2 linked regions of the Arabidopsis thaliana genome follow. The protein of the gene in region 1 interacts with the protein of each later gene in a pairwise test. Each region holds a gene or a part of one and is shown on either strand. Other genes may lie near its edges.

Evidence for each region.
Region 2: the proteins of MEA (region 1) and MET1 interact in a two-hybrid assay, tested with the Arabidopsis thaliana proteins (one study listed by BioGRID).

Annotation. Positions count from the first base shown.
Region 1 is NC_003070.9:542,282-550,137, reverse strand, and holds MEA (SET domain-containing protein), read right to left. Parts: upstream 5,406-7,856; 5' UTR 5,343-5,405; coding exon 5,334-5,342; intron 5,166-5,333; coding exon 5,076-5,165; intron 4,507-5,075; coding exon 4,175-4,506; intron 4,077-4,174; coding exon 3,903-4,076; intron 3,826-3,902; coding exon 3,738-3,825; intron 3,627-3,737; coding exon 3,501-3,626; intron 3,412-3,500; coding exon 3,364-3,411; intron 3,268-3,363; coding exon 3,199-3,267; intron 3,115-3,198; coding exon 2,966-3,114; intron 2,891-2,965; coding exon 2,764-2,890; intron 2,676-2,763; coding exon 2,467-2,675; intron 2,391-2,466; coding exon 2,259-2,390; intron 2,169-2,258; coding exon 2,087-2,168; intron 2,005-2,086; coding exon 1,957-2,004; coding exon of another isoform or gene 1,885-1,956; exon of another isoform or gene 1,884-1,884; intron 1,828-1,883; coding exon 1,699-1,827; intron 1,614-1,698; coding exon 1,536-1,613; intron 1,324-1,535; coding exon 1,144-1,323; 3' UTR 936-1,143; downstream 1-935. Other genes in the region: AT1G02575 (uncharacterized protein), read right to left, coding at 6,155-6,985. UniProt on the Arabidopsis thaliana protein: Polycomb group (PcG) protein. Catalytic subunit of some PcG multiprotein complex, which methylates 'Lys-27' of histone H3, leading to transcriptional repression of the affected target genes.
Region 2 is NC_003076.8:19,930,146-19,939,069, reverse strand, and holds MET1 (methyltransferase 1), read right to left. Parts: upstream 6,957-8,924; 5' UTR 6,795-6,956; intron 6,581-6,794; 5' UTR 6,570-6,580; coding exon 5,119-6,569; intron 5,035-5,118; coding exon 3,510-5,034; intron 3,411-3,509; coding exon 3,246-3,410; intron 3,097-3,245; coding exon 2,901-3,096; intron 2,821-2,900; coding exon 2,709-2,820; intron 2,628-2,708; coding exon 2,480-2,627; intron 2,398-2,479; coding exon 2,200-2,397; intron 2,069-2,199; coding exon 1,790-2,068; intron 1,679-1,789; coding exon 1,517-1,678; intron 1,406-1,516; coding exon 1,187-1,405; intron 1,034-1,186; coding exon 884-1,033; 3' UTR 600-883; downstream 1-599. Other genes in the region: AT5G49170 (uncharacterized protein), read left to right, coding at 1-231.

The sequences.
Region 1 (7,856 bases):
ACATTGTGAAATCTAACCAGATTTTGGATCCCGCCATTTAACCGTGGTCATTAGCGATTCTACAAATCCAACATGTTTTCACATCTTCATGTATATTTAGCATTTATTTTTTATTTTATTTTTTTAAAAGATTTTAACTCATTTTTTTAAAAAAGTTTTTTTATAAATACTAAATTAATATGGCGTTGTGAAATCTAACCAGATTTTGGATCCCGCCATTTAACCGTGGTCATTAACGATTCCACAAATCCAACATGTTTTTCACATCTTCATGTATATTTAGCATTTATTTTATTTTTTATTTTCTTAAAAGATTTTCAACTCATTTTTTTTAAAAGGTTTTTTTTATAAATACTAAATTAATATGACGTAATATGACATTGTGAAATCTAACCGGATTTTGGATCCCGCCATTTAACCGTGGTCATTAACGATTCCACAAATCCAACATGTTTTTCACATCTTCATGTATATTTAGCATTTATATTTAGCAATAGTCGTTCGCGATTCCAAACATTTAAGTTTATAATTTAGATTTTTTGAAAATAGTTACTTTCGGATTTTAAAGAGCTTTTTTCTTTTTTTTTGTTTTTATTTGTTTAGATACTAAATGTTAGATGCATCAAATACATATTTACATTAAAGTAAAACCTTTCGTAAGCTACAGCCACTTTGTTGATGATTCTTCCATGTATTACTCAATAGACTACAAAATTAAATCTCGAAAAACGTTTTAAAACCAAACGAGCTAATACCTAAAATTCTAACTATACTTCATTCATAACCAATATTTTTTTTTAATGATAAAACCCATTATTTTGACATTTTTGTACATTACGTACCACAGACTTGTGTTATGTGATTTTTCGCTAAATGAAGACTAAATAAATGTAAAGTTGTGCAAAGCTTTTTTTTTCCAAAGGTCTATGCAAACTAACAACATAAACATTGTTTTTAAATTGAAATACAAAAAGAAAACTTTGAAAGTTAAGACACATATGATACAAACAAAACACCCTAAAACAAATAAAACAGAAACTTAAGTTTTGGTTTAGTAACACAAAATAGCATTACATTATTAATTGATATACCATAACATAAAAAAAGGACTGCTTGAATTGCTGCTTCTCCTCAGATCAAAAACTAACGAGCTGGACGGGCTTCCTTAGACCTTTTAGAAGCACCAGTCTTTCTAGGTTCTCGACCACGCGACCAATCCGCATGTTCTGGTCCATAGCAGTAGTCGAAGAAAAGCTCCTCACCTTCTTCGATTGCTCTCTCCGCAAATAGACCAATCCTCTGATCTCCTCTCACAATCATCAACTGCACACGAAACCATAAATTTTCGTAACCTAAATTTTCTCGACAAGAAAAAATCATTTAAAATGAGTTTGAGTTTCTTGGAATATCTTCAATATGAAAACCAATCAACGACGAGTAAAGTTGATACACGATTTAACTAAAGAAACTAACATAAGTATTTTTGTTTGTATAATGTTAGTATTTGTTCAAGATAAAGTATAACGGCTTAGTACCTTGGCGTAGCAGTTAGGTCTTGCTGAGTGATTGAGAAATTTGAACTCGTTTCCTTTACGGCGAGCATCGATTTCGAGCTGTAAAATAAATGTTACTTTGATTCGAATAGATGTGTAACCCGCGAATGATTAAAACGTTACTTCAAAATTATTCTGAAGTTACCTGATCATTCAAGGTAAAGAGGTAGGAAGAACCAATCCGATCTTCTATTCTCCCACGCTCATTAGCTTCATCATGAGTGATCAGTTCTCCAGTATATTCTCCGAGATACTCATTCTTTTTAAGAGAGTCCTGACGGGTCAAACCATATCACACAATATATTTAATGGTCTAAAGTATAAAACATTATTAAAAAAAAAAAAGTGTTATGAATGCACCAATAACTATTAAACTTATTCTTATATTTACATGATTGCTTACCCATGTAAATGCACCCCATCCATGAACATCAGACTTTCCAATGAGAATCTAGTAAAATACGGGAAATGATAGTTAAATGTCTTTCGTATAATTAGTTTTAAATTTTCGGTACGGATTTGACGTTGATTACCTTTTTATTGGTTTGAAGGAGGAATTGCATGTTCTTGCATTGGATTTGCACTGGTGTCTCACCAAGAGTGCCATCTCCACAGCTATATATAAAGTTTTTTTTATAAGACTTTTGGTTTGAATTACTTTGATTATAGAATTTGTATAAAGAGATATTGAAGTGAAAGTGTTACCTAAGAGGACAACTCCGACAAAGATCTGGATCGCATTCACGATTAGCAGCAAAACAAGGACATTGTCGATTTGTGCATTGGCCAATTGCACAATTACATCCTCCAAAGCGATTGTTGCAATCCTTTGAGCACCTGAACAAAAAATACAAACTCATGTTCAAATTAAATCTCATGGATCTTCCGGCTTAGGAAAAATTGAATGACATACCCGCAATATTTCTCGCAGCAATTTTCGTGAGTTAAACAAGGGCATTGCTGTCCACATTTTGACTTGCAAGTGCATGGTGTGTAGTGCTTATAAAACTTAGCTTCTCCACTAGTTGTTTTCTTTAAAGCAGGCGGATAACGAGCATATTTTCGGAGTCTCGATTTTTTGCGGACCGACCTACTACTTTTTCGAGATACTTTTTTGGTAACCTGTGATAAAACCATCAACACATATAGGAAACTTCATGTGTTTTTAACATACATGTCATGAGAATAATTACGACATAGGTTAGTGTACCTGATTGTGTCTTTGTGTAGTTTTGTTAAGGTCTAATGACATAGTACATTGATCTTGTTCGCGCATGTAATTGTAAATCTCTAGGCACGTCTTAAGCCCCCGAAGTATGTTTAATGCAACATCACAACTGCGAACCAGCATAATCAAGGAATACAGTGTAAGTATATATATTAATGCATTAAATCTATTTTTATTTTTTTACCTGTTTCTCCCAAATATCTCAATTCCTTTCAAGTAAAGATCCTTCTCTACAGGCGTCCACATAGTGTTGTTTGGATCTGAGACCACAATCTTGTTTGATATAGAGTTATCATTATCCATCACATGATCAGCTTCTGTCACACTCCTCACCTATTTAATATTAAACCAGTAACTAATAAACGTAATTAAGGAATAGACAAAAAAATTGAGAGAGAGAGGGAGAGAGATAGAGACCTTGAGGTAACAATGCTCACTGCATGGTTGTCTATCTTCATCCTCAAACAAACTAGATTTGTCTTCGCTCTGACAAGCCAAAGCAATCTAATTAAGTTAATCACTTAACCTTATATATAAGGGTTGTGAAACTAACAAAATAATTTAAATGAATTTAATGCTTACGGATCTAGACTCGGGCTCATACTTCTCATGCATATGACAATCGAATATCTGTAAAACAAATGATAAAATAAAATAAAAACATGTATGATCATCTCCCTTTTTTGTGGCTAAATTAAAAAAGAAAGATTCAAAGTTACCATGCAACGACGGCAATGACGTCTATCAGCAAAATCCTGGAAAGCAGTAGTTATTGTCTTGGATGTCAAATCAGAAGCCTCACCAGCAGTTCCATCATTCTTAAGCTTGAGTTCATTGTATCTTTCCTACATTAGATTTGAAAATTTAAAACATTTCTCACGACGAAAAACAACAAAAATTAAATAAGCAGGAAAGTTATTGATCGACGTATGAAGTTTTTATTCGAATATTGTTACCAATATGTCCGAAACATCCACTTCGAGGTACTTGGCGAGAGCACGCCGCACGACCAGATCATCCAAACCATAGTCCTGCCCAACCGTCCTGAAAATTTCTTGAGCAGTTTATTAAATATGGACTACAAATTAATAATCAAGAACATATGTAATGCAAAAACTAACCATATAAATCGGTCTACATCTTCAGAAAATTCGCATTTTTCTTTCTTGATTTCTTCCTCATCTTCTTCTTCATCTTCCTCATCTTCTTCACTGCTCAATTCTAGTGCCTCACCATTCAAATAATAGATTTGTCTCTTACCAATCACAGAATCACTTTCAGCCATCAGCTGGCTACTGCAATGTTAAAGAAATGTATATATGCACTATGAGTGATTACTATATAGTATATGATTAATATTTTGAAACTAGTACGAAACAAAAAACACACATGCCTTTTGGTGAAGACCCATGTAATGGATCGTGGTAGCTTCTCAACAATTGGAAGCTTGACACTTGGTAATAATGGTACATCTTCATCAAGAAATAATGGTACATCTTCTTCAAGAGCATAATCTTGATCCTCATCAAGAACATAACCTTGATCTTCGTAAGAATTATAATCAGATGAGGCACTGAAATGACGAAGTGGGTTTTGCATTCTCGACAAAAGTGATTTGTTGTCTCCTCCATTATCATCCTCTGCAGCGGGCTGGTTTAAGTCAAACGATTGATGGTGTGAAGCATGAGTAGCCACACTTGGAATGTATCTCAGCTCGAATTTTCTCTGTTAATCAAGTAATATATAGGTAAATGATTTTTTAAATTTCAGAAACTGGACTCTATATATAGTGAAACTAGAATACTTGAATACAAAAGTTTTGATTTCGATTTCTTGATATATGCATCAATCTTGGCTTTTTTGGCTGAATGTTAAAAAAAAAACAATTTGGACCTATTTAGTTTCTTTGTACTAAAAAAAACAAATTGTATTACTATTTTGTTTGACAAAAACAAAAAAATCTACTATTATTTTCAATTTTATTTTATAACCTAAGTTCCAGCTTTATATTATAAATATATTAATTATTTTTTTATTCTAAGTTTTGGATACCCGACAGATCTGGATGTCGTTATCGATTCGCTGGCATTTTCTAAATTCTGTTTTTAATTTAAAAGTTTGGAAATTTCTCTTTTTAGTTTTAAAGATTATGACTAATGTATAACTGTTTATTAGATGTATCTTAACATCTCTTTGGAATCGTATAGTTATGAGATTAAGTCCTCTCCTCTCCTTAATTTTCAGAAAAACATACAGAAGAGAATAAAATATTAAAGCAACCAAATGTCTCTTACCTTGATATGCAGAAATCTCTCCTTTTCGATTTGCTCTTTTATCTGATTTAGTTCGGGTGGCAAACCCTCACCATCGTCCTCATGGTTTTCCTAGACAAATTCAAAAATAAAAGTTTTATGGATCATGCATGGGACGAATAACATAATAGATCACAAGAAAATTCAACCCTAAATGTTATTGATCTATCATAAACACACAATTAAAATATATGGATTTCATAACCTAGTCAATTCATATATGTTTGGAGTGAAACTAACCTTCTCCATTAACCACTCGCCTCTTCTTTTTTTCTCGTCTTCTCTGATGTTGGTGAAAAGGATAATGCAAAGGGTTTTTTAAATAAGAAGTTGATTTTTTTTTGTAGAAAACCTTATTAAGGAAAATTATAATCTGGAAGAAACGTATTTGGACTTGCTTGCTTTAAAAGGAAAATAATATGGGAAATTTAAGAAAATTTTAATTTTCAAAATATAGTACTATATGTATGTAGATGTTGGGTTTGCTTGACGTTTGACAGCTCAAGTTTAAATTCATATACAATATTATAAAAAAAAAGGCGTTAACTCATATTTATGTGACAACTTGGTTTAGTAAACCAATGAAAAAATGTTGATAGATCAATATATACATTTTGGAGTGTCCGGTAAGACTTATATTAATGTCATTATATATATTAGTATTCATTCCTAGCTAGTTTTCTATTTAAGCTTATATATTATGCATATATGGAAGAAACAAAATGAGTTTAAATCTTCAAAAATATATATATGGCTATATTATTCAATTCGTAAATTTAATTATACGCATTTAAAACTTCTACGTAAATCCGATATTTTTTACTATTTATAACGTTAATTAAATCTCCAAGTTTTTCTTAAAAAGGGTGTGTTATAAAAATATAATTATAAAAAGACTTAAATTAATGTTCAATGGTTATTTTTAGATAAAATATTTTTGCTTTCTGATATTCTACTATTTTTGTGACATATATACGGGTTAAATTCCTAGCAAGAAATAGAAAATAAAAATAAAAAAATCTCAAAAACATTCAAGAGATGAGTATAATATGTCAAATATCTTACACATGATCATCATTACACATATCATCAAAAACACATGATTCACAGCCTTTTCTCGACCTCTTAATGCTCAAAGTCAACGTATTCACAAAATCCAAAAACCCTTTGAAGATCTTCATTAAACCAATTCCAACACAGATGTAATACATACACCAGTTCACAAAATTGAGACCCTCCAAACGAATGGGGAGGTTAAGTCTATCCGCCGTAACCACCACCACAAGACTTTCTACCTCATCTCTTAGCCTCCACCACCACATTATACCAAAGGTCACTGCCACAACGGCTCTCTCGGACCACCTCTCCTCCACGTAGACCCCATATATAGTGTTGTCAACCACAGGCTTAACCACGACTCTAAACCACATCAGCATCACTTCGTGTAGCCCCAAAAAGAACAAAACCCTAACCAACATCCATCTTTCATGTGTCGCAAGAAACAAGTTTTTGTCTGGATTTATAGACATGGTCGTGCTCATGGTTCTTTTGATCCCAAAGGCACAAGCTTGGGCGATGAAGAGAACGATCCAGCAGATGTAGAGATGGGAATGGAGAACAGAGCATTCTGGTTTTCCTGAGAGACTGTGGATTAAAGTGAAGACGATGATGAGAAACAAGATCGTGTATAAGACTCCGACATCTGCCTGGTGAATAACAGAGGAAACGCCGGAGACGGTGACCGGAGTTGAGGAGGTATAGAGAGAGAGACGTGAAAGAAAGAGGAAAGATAGAGGGAGGAGGAGGCTAAGAAAGCTAATGGAGATCATTTGAAATGGTCGAATCAGGGACCAGCTGTTTCTTGTGTTCTTTTGTGTTTCTTCATGTTCCATCTTAATTCGCAAAGATTGAAACACTGAGAAGAAGAAAGAAAATGGGATGATACTGTTTCTTGAATGTGAAGGAACAGAGGATGTAAGAAAGATCTATATAAAAGCATTAAGACTGTAATTGGCAGCCACGTCTATGGTCATCTAGCTACAAAGGTTTGATCTTTTCGTCTTTTCGAATGATTCAATATAATGATTTCTGTTTTGTTACAATCACCACAAAGGTTCCCTTTCTTATTTCTCTATTTTTTGGTCTACACTATACATCAAATTATAAAAACATGTCCAAACTTATGGTAATGAAAAGCCCACCAGTTTTAAAATATAGGTTTACCGATGAACACAGCCGGCAGATGGATAATCGTCGTGTGTTTTTTTTTTCTTTGAAACAAATAATAGATATGAAAAAATTTGATTTTTAAAAATAATGGATCCAACGTTCCCAACATATCTAGTGTTTGACCATTACATGGATAAAGTTCATTGATATCTTTATTTTTTTAAGATTAAATGTGTGTTGTACATAATATTATAAATAGATTAAAAATAAAATAATTTTTTGGAAAAGAGGATAAATTCAAGCTCTCGAGAGTTCGTTATAAATCCTTGTGTTAAAACGTAAATTACTCTTTACTCTAATATTTTAAAATTTTTTACTCTTTATAACGTTAACTAAATGTCCAAAGTTTTCTTAAAAAGTGACTACGTATATATATTATGCACGTGTTATAAACATAACTATAAAAAGACTTAAGATCCACTTAAATTAATGTTCAATGATTATCTTTAGATTATAAAAGATTGCTATTTGATATCCTATTATTTTTATGACCCAAAAAAAAAAAAGGTTTAAATTTATAACAAGAAAGAAGAC
Region 2 (8,924 bases), on another chromosome or scaffold:
TTCGACGATCGTAGCGATGTTCATTTTGCTAGAGCTAGAAATTTTCGAGCTGGTTCGATATCAGGTCCGGTTTACGTGACAGAGAGTTGGAGCGGTTCGAGTACACCATACCGGCCGATGACTACGACGTCGGCAGTTCAGTATTTGAGTCTACGGGAGCTTAATATGGAGCGACAGCAGAGGATCACTACCTCTTCTTCTATGTCCGGTCCAATTTACTTGGTCACGTGAATAAAAACATCAATTTGCAGAATTATCCTTTTATAGGATCAAAAAAGGAAAAAGAAATTAATAAGATTTGTTTTGGGAGGTGTGGAAGATAAGTTTAGATTTGGTTTGTGGGCCTAATGGGCCCAATTGTTTTATAGGATATGATGAGTCCATTACATAAGTGTGACTGGGTAGCTTAAGGTAATAATAACCAGCTCCCGTTATTTGTTGTTTCTTTCCGTTGGTTGATGCGAGATAATTATAAACTGTTTTAGGTGTTTTTTATTTACCTAATTTTTATAATATTGAAGTTTATATTATTATTAACTGTTGTACAGTGCATTTTTCAAGAGTCTAAAATTGATAGATGACTGAAACCTTTACATGTTCTGGACAAACTTTATTTCGACGCAATATCATTGAAACTGTCTCTCATATCTTTAAATTTTCGACGCAATATTATTTCAACCCAATTCACAAGGCAAATAAATCATAGTCTATAGACATCATTGCTTGCTTGTATAATGAGATTTTTCAATCCGAATACGGAATATACAAAAACTCTTCGTAGGCTTTCTTTATCAAAAGTATCAGCACCAATGAGTTTCATTCAAGACAAGGATCATAATGACTAATATTATTGAAAAAGGAAATGCCAAATTTGGGTGGTTATCTAGGGTTGGTGTTGAGGAGACTTCTTGAGATGTAGGGCTTCTTTGAGCTTACGACCTAGAGCAAATGCCAATGGTGGAGGGACTGCATTCCCAATCTGCCTGTGCTTGTGATTTATGTTCCCTGCAAACTCGTAGCTATCCGGAAACCCCTGCAGTTTTCATTAACAACAATTTCGCTTAAAAGGCCATATCGATAAAGCTAACATTACTACTCTATCTCCCAAAACCATTCAGTGCTTTGCAATCTCTAAGTCTGTAACTGATGCTATAGGACTGACTGGGAACAGAAGAGTTTTTCTTACCTGAGATCGGGCGCATTCACGGACTGTAAGGATTCTGTGCTGTTCAGGATGAAAGCACATTCCAACCTTACCCATGGGCTGAGGATCCGTGACGGAAGTCGGAAAGTTTCCTTGCCAATCTAATCTCCCATATAGTCCCTTCCAACCGTTGTGGCGCTCAGCTGTGTTTGGGAGACAAAAAGGAATCATTTCTTCTACGCGCCCATCAGATAACGTAACCTGTGATATTAAAACAAAGCGATTTGGGTTGATTTCTAGTTTCAAAAGCAATTCTTTTGACCGTAGTCAACCTGACAAAGGTATTCCTGAGGTAGGATGTATAAGACTGACCTTTCTCTTTGGCAAGTCATGCCAATCAGCCCCAGGCCTAGTTGGGATTAATTTGCATCGAATGAGGTTAAGCTCATTCATAGCCTTGCAGATATGATCAGTGAGAGCAATCGTGTTTCCTCTTATCTCCTTTTGGAACCACGAGACTGCAACCTCTTTATACTGCAAGAAACAAGAATTTCCCCCACATAAATTAATAAATTAATGGGTTCACGTCATTTGTGTTTAGCAAATATGTATGTATAGATATTTTCTCCAGATGTGTTATCATACCTCTTTGTTTGTCCTAGAGTCTCCGTTTTCTACTGATGGAAGATCACCAATTGTGTCTCTCACGGTGATTGGACGGAAAGGGGCACCAAGTGCAGTACTACGAACAGCAGCATAATGTAAACCTTGAGATAGTGAGATTTTCAACTTTGGAACACCAAAGACATGCATCGGCTCAGGCCATTCAGGGAGAACTTCTTCTGGTGCAGCAGCCCAAATGAAAGCTCGTTTACGAGATTGGGATACTCCATATGCACCGGCCTCCAGGATTCCAAATCTCACCTGGGAAACATCATAGAAACATCATATTTAAGAGATTTAAGTCAATTTTTGTACTTCGCAAACCATTCTTCACAGAGCATGCCAACTTCTACTAAAGAGAAATCAATTTAACAAAAGCGTTAGGACTTTACCTGGTAACCCATTTCGAGAAGGGAAGCCAAAGTAAGCTGAAATGTCTGCCCTTTATTGAATGACACAAAGGTCCTCACGTTCTCCAGAAGAAAATACCTTGGCCGGAAATAGTCAGCAAAGGACAAGAATGCTAATATCATTTCACACTGAACTTTACTCCAAGAGCTTTGGTTGAACCTGTTCATACCAGAAAATCCCTGCCAAATTGCACAGGTTAAGGGCTTTTCACTTATTCAACGAAAAATTTACACAAGTATAGCCACAATCTGAAATATATACCTGACATGGAGGTCCACCATTGATGAAGTCCACTTGACCAGGCAGTGGCAGAGTACTCTTCTGCTCCTCAGTTAGTTTAGCTGCTAATTCATTTGCCTCTGTAGTAGAGACACAATCATCTTGATCTCCACCTTTCTCCATTATAGCCCTGCAATTAATCACAACAACTGATCACAATGCAAAAAATAGCCACACTAAAAGAGTAAGCGATAACTTGTTGGCTATTTACCTAAGAATCACATTGCAGTTGTCAACAAAAACTGTTGACTCAGGATGGTTTTGTTTAAAAGCCTGCCCAGCTGGCTCTTCATACTCAATCGCCCACTTTGCATCAGATACACCTTTTACATATAGCATGAATATTAATACAACTTATTCAAGCATTTTGGAAGATTAAGAGTTGACTGGATATAATACATACCCGCCTTTTTCAGTCCATGAGACAGGCCACCACAACCAGCAAAAATATCTAGAGTAGCCAGACGAATCTCTTTAGGTGGCTCAACAGGCTTGACAATCTCAGACTCAATTTCACTCTCTACTCCCTTTCCCTTTTTCTTTCTTAAAAGTGTGTCGTCCTTAATAGTAGAGAACTTTGGCTTCATATTGGCGGGCAGCTGTTACAAGACAGTATAGAGAAAAAGTTCAACTTTGTATCAGAACAACAATAATCATAACATATAAATCCTAGACACAACTATATGAATTCCTTAAGAAACTAGGTACACAAATAATTGACAAATACGAAGTGAAGAGAGGTATATACCTGCTTGAGAGAACCTTTGGAGGTGTCAAAGAAAAGATCACAGAAGAAAATATGGTCTGATATTGGATATTCACGGGATAAGGGCATATCACTTTTCTTTCTTACTTCACATTTTCCCTCTAGAGCACCTGGAGGGAGAACAACTGTGTCCTGGCTGAAATACAACTTAAGAAATTGCAAAAAGAAAGAAAAAAGATTGTCAGATAAACTTATGAAGAAACCTCACCACTGAACACATTACCAGATATAAAAAATAGTTCTTACTTCTTGGATGTCTGAAGCATAGGCCTTCTCTGCAGAAACATCCTCAGGCCTATAAAACCTTCTCACTTTAACATCAAAGGAACCCAAATCAGCCTTTCTAGATTCCTTTGGAACAATTTCCAGCAATTGGCAAACAACATACGCTCTTAACCCAATGTTTCGCCCAGACTTAAAAGAAGTTTTACTACCCTCCTTCAACCCACCAATAGAGTCAGGGTTGACATAGACAAAATCCTCAACAGAATACTCAATCCCATTGATGAAAAAGCCTGTCTTTGAAACATTTAGTTTAATTGTAGACCTCTTCTCTTCATCCTCCCTTATCTTACATGAAGTGCAGAACCCAGAACTGCGACCAATATCACTTAGTGGAAGACTAAAGAATCCCCCTCTCTCAGGTGAGTACAAGCTTTTGCAGTAATACTCTGTTGGCAAATCTTTTACTTTTCTTTCTAATGCTCTAGCCCAGTCAAGCTTATCCGCAGTGATGTTCTTTTTCCTATACTGATGCCCCCATGGCCTTGATCGAATCTCAAAACTGGCTACTCCTTTAATGTCCTTGAGCTGTGTAGTCATGCATTCATTAGTCAGGAATAGTTCCCTCTCGTTAGCAGCATTCCCCAGAACAGTCATAGATCCTCTTTGTAAGAATCTACCATGTAACATTTTGCAGTGATCTGTACTTTCGAACATGTACTCCACAAAATAGATGGCCGGCATTTCATCTGGATCATCAACTTCCAAGGTGACAGCGCCACCTACAGCCACCATTTCCCCTCCAACAAGGGCTTGTTGATAGAGAGGCTCGCCAGCAGAAGTTTTTCCTAGACTCTCACCATCCCATTTTATTTCCCTTTTTCCAGAACTGCCTCGGATTTTCTTAGGAGTATGAGGCTTCTGAACCTCAACAGGTTCTGGTACAGTGTCCTCTGTGAGACCATTTTCACCTTCCTCTTCAACCTCTTCCTCCCCATTTCCGCCTTCCTCTTCCACCTCATCCTCCCCATTTTCTGCAGCAGTCGCCTGCAATGGATCCTCTGGAGAGTAATTGGAGTAAAACTCTCCCCAAATTCTGTTGACCAGGCGAGTTGTTGTTGCTTGCATAGCTTTCCTCTTCGATGCTACTGGTGCCATGCCTGCCCTTGGATTCAGATTCAGTTCCTTCAGCGAAATTTTCTTCTTCTTGATGATCCATTTTGTGTGGTGCCTATCCTCCAATTTGCTTGCAAGACCAACAACAAATGGACACCTTTTGACATTGTCGTCCGGATAAACTGCAAAAAGCTGTAAAATAATTTGCCCATGGACGACCAAATATCTCTCAACAGCCAAGGGGTCAGAAGAAATGTAAGCTTTATCATTCGCCTGTAACCCAGACAGTCTTTTTGTGACATCTGCAAATGAAAGCCTAGCAACCCTACTTTCCACCCTAAGAAAAGTAAGAATGCTTATCCCAACCCTTGCTGTTTTCAGAACAGGTTTCCACCAAGGGGCATAAAGTTTTGATGGTTTCCCAAGACGGTACCTGTATATACCTTATACATCAGCAACAGAAGAAAAAACAGACGTAGAAACATGCGAGTACAAAATACTAGGATAGTAAGCTTACCAGGCCACATCTGTTCGTATAGAAATGGAGATAATATCATCGCTCCCAAACTCAATCATCCATTCTTTAATTTGACTGAGGAATATGCACATCCCATCAGGATCGTGTGACTGAGAACCGCTGTCAGGATCGTTTAAAGAAATCCAACTTCCATTATCATCAGTCACCACACCTGACCCAAAAATGTTGACATCAATATCATCACATTGTTTCATCGGTAGAAGTTCCAGTGATATGAATCGTAAATCAGAGTTATAAAGAGCCCAGTTGTGAAGCATCCTGTGAGGCAGGTGTTCAGATTGAACCTCATAGGAAGCATCATAAAGTATAAGTTCATCTGTTTCTTCTTCGGAGGTCTTATAGTACGATGGGAGAGGATAATCATTGGCAATCTCATCTTCATTTATCTTAATGTAGAACATATTTGAAGCAGAACCTGAGCTGCTGTTTTTTCTGGGCTGTTGCATAGATTTCCTATTCTCTTCGTCTTGTAAGAGTATAGCATATCTTCTGTCATCATCAGTACCATCAACCAGTTGATCAGATGTCAAGGCCTCGCTCTCCGCAACTTGAGAAACTTCTTTAATCCTCACACCATTAGATGGGTTTCTTTCCCTCTGCAGAGGCTTGTCAATCTTACTACTCTTCTCTCTGAGAGCTACAAGAACAGGAATCTCAACATAGCTTGATTCATGTTTCTTGGCTGTCTCATCCAAACCAGCGAGTTGGTTATATATAAAATCTCCCTGGGATATAACAAAATCGATGATTGCCGCACCACTAGAAAAGTACTTGCTTCCACTGCTCATTGATCTGACAACCGCCGCAAGTAACTCCTCAAGACCTATATCAGGATCCCCACCAGATGACTTGGACAATTTCTTATACACAGCCACTGAAGCACGAGCTTTCTCATAGAAGTAATCATAAACCTTCCTGTAGCTAGCAGCAGGTTTACGACAATCATAATCCGCCAATTCCGTTGAGATCCAAATAACAGGGGAACCATCTTCATAACCAGAGATACTCCAATGCTCAACCCGTCCAAACGATGTACACCTCACACCCTTCTCTTTCTCCTTATCAGTACACACATCTGAAGGTAAGATAGCACCTGAAACGAATATGTCATGAATCTCCAACATCTCCAGAGGTTGTGGAACTCCATCTGAATCAAACAAAACAAAATCATTCAGTCTCCTGGTTGGACGATCTTCAACATCAGTTTCCAGAGCCGTTAACCGTAACGCGAGAAACTCTTCCTCCACAATCTGCTGTTTCTTTACTTCAATAGTAGCAGATTTCTCACAGACTCGAATAGATTTCTCCTTGAAACTGGTACACGCTGCAGCACGCCTTGGTCTCCTCGTCCTAGGTACATCTTCTACCTCTTGAATCTCTGGAAGTGGTCTCTTCTTTCGCTTCGCAGCTTTAGCCCCATTTTCCACCATTTTCAAAATCCCTAGTTTCAAAATCAAAATTACCAACAAAATCATCACTATAACGCAATTGGACTATAAAATTTTCACACAAATCTATGTAATCGAAGCGTTCACTACATCGCATTGACTAAACCGACGCAAATAATAACAAAGCCCAGGAAAATTTCCGAGTCTAGGGTTTAACAATCACTGTAGTTAGACTGAAATCGACACAGATTATAGAGAAAAACTTACGTTGAGAAGCGAAATCTACTGGAAGATTGCGAAACCCTAATTGGTCTGAGAGATAGAGAGGTTGAAGAAAGCAGTGATGTGTGATTTGAGAGGAAGAGTGGGAGAGAGAGAGAGGGGGTAATAATAAAAGGAGACGAGACGAGGAGCGAAAACGACGCGCGGCAATAAACGGCGCTAAAAACTTTTTTAAAATGAAAACGAAATAAGAAAAAAAGCCGCGCCTGAATATTTAGGGCTACCATAAATGGCTTTTTATGATTCAATGATTTTATCTTTTGGGGAATATTCCGTATAAATAATCCTAATTTTAAGATTTTTACAGATTTGTTTCTATCTCTAATGTTTATATTCTAATATCTTTCCATCAGTCAACAGTCAAAGTATACGAGTATTATTTTGATTAAGATTTTTATTTGACTACAAAGTATAGATATTTTTTTGATAGAAAAAAGTCTGATTTTTAGACGAAATGTTGAGGGTTAACAACTTAACAATGAGATCCTCCAATAATACTTTTATGTGTGTGTTTTTTCTTATAACAAGAACAATATTTTTATTTTCAAAACTAATACTTTATCATGAAGTGTTTATCAAATGGATAATTTTAATATATATACGAAAAATCTCAAATTGGTAGGATGCCGCTATTTTAGTTAGCTCGTTAGGTTTATGATTTATAACAATATTTTTTCTTTCGAGAACTAACATTTTACCATGATCCTACTATATTATTTGGGAAGTACATTTTAAATGTAACCTTACTTTTTGTAAGTAATTACATATGTATGCCATTAGAAATAAAATTTAAAGAGTAAAGTAATTCATCTCTTTAAAAATTAAAAAGTCAAATACTAATTTAATTAATTAAATTTCATTAAAAAATGAAATACATTATTAATTTCCAAAAAATTAACCAATTAAAATCAACAAATTAGATTTAATATCTAAATTATCATATTAATTTTTTATTAATTATTATAGTTCACCTCTCATCTTTATATGATTCTATTTTTGCGAAAAAATAATATCATCGTTATAAAAAAATAATTAGAGTTTTTTCGCATATGCCATAATTTAAACTTTTAAAAACGAATATAAACTGTTCAATACATAAAAAAATATTATAACGGGTCAAAAATAGATTTAAAAAAATTTATTACTAAGTACTGGGTCATAATTTAAATATTTATATTCAATTTCATGCATATTATTTTAAGAATTTATAATCTTATATACAACAATAATTAATAACATATTAGATTTTTTTATGTGTATGATGTGATTCAATTTTTAATACAAGCTGGAAAATCCTAGAATTGACGGGTTTAAATCGATATTAATATAAGATGGTATACTACAGGTGAAACTCTAAAATTAACAATCAAAATACAAGTGTATAATTTTAAACACTAAACAATATAAATAATATCAAGAAAACATATACAACTCGCAGTTTACTATATATTTAAAATCAAATAAAATAATATCATATAATTAATATTTTGGATATTAAATTAATGTTTGGGTTTTTGAATACTCTTTTTAGATAACGGGTAATTTCCGGTCCAATCGGATATCCACGGGTTTACTAAAACTCTACCCAATAAGGAAATTTCCTAAAATTTTAACCCGCCCTAACCCGATTTTTTGGTTCGAGTATTGGGTTGGTTATCGGGTCCGTTTTTTCGTCAGCCCTATTAAAGATAATCTAATATAGGCCCCAATTAGGTCCACAAATATAACCAAAATACTATACAAAAACTAATTCTAAATTAGGCCAAAAATTAGATCCTCTAATACAAAGGAAACATGTTTCTTACCAAAATAACTTCTATACAAATTTTACACATTTACTTAAAACTACATATGTTGTATTTATTATAACAATAACATTTTTAAACAAAGTCAATCTAATGCAGCATTATATGTAAATAGTAAAACATTGAAAAATATTATGGCATCACTTTTATACTATACTATTTTTTATGTAATTCAAACAAAGTATACAATTTAATTTATACAAAATATTAATGCTCGTGCTGTATAGCACGGGTTATGATCTAGTAAATCTATTAAATGAATAATCATATGAGTTAATCAGATTTATATACATTGAAAACCTCAAATTAA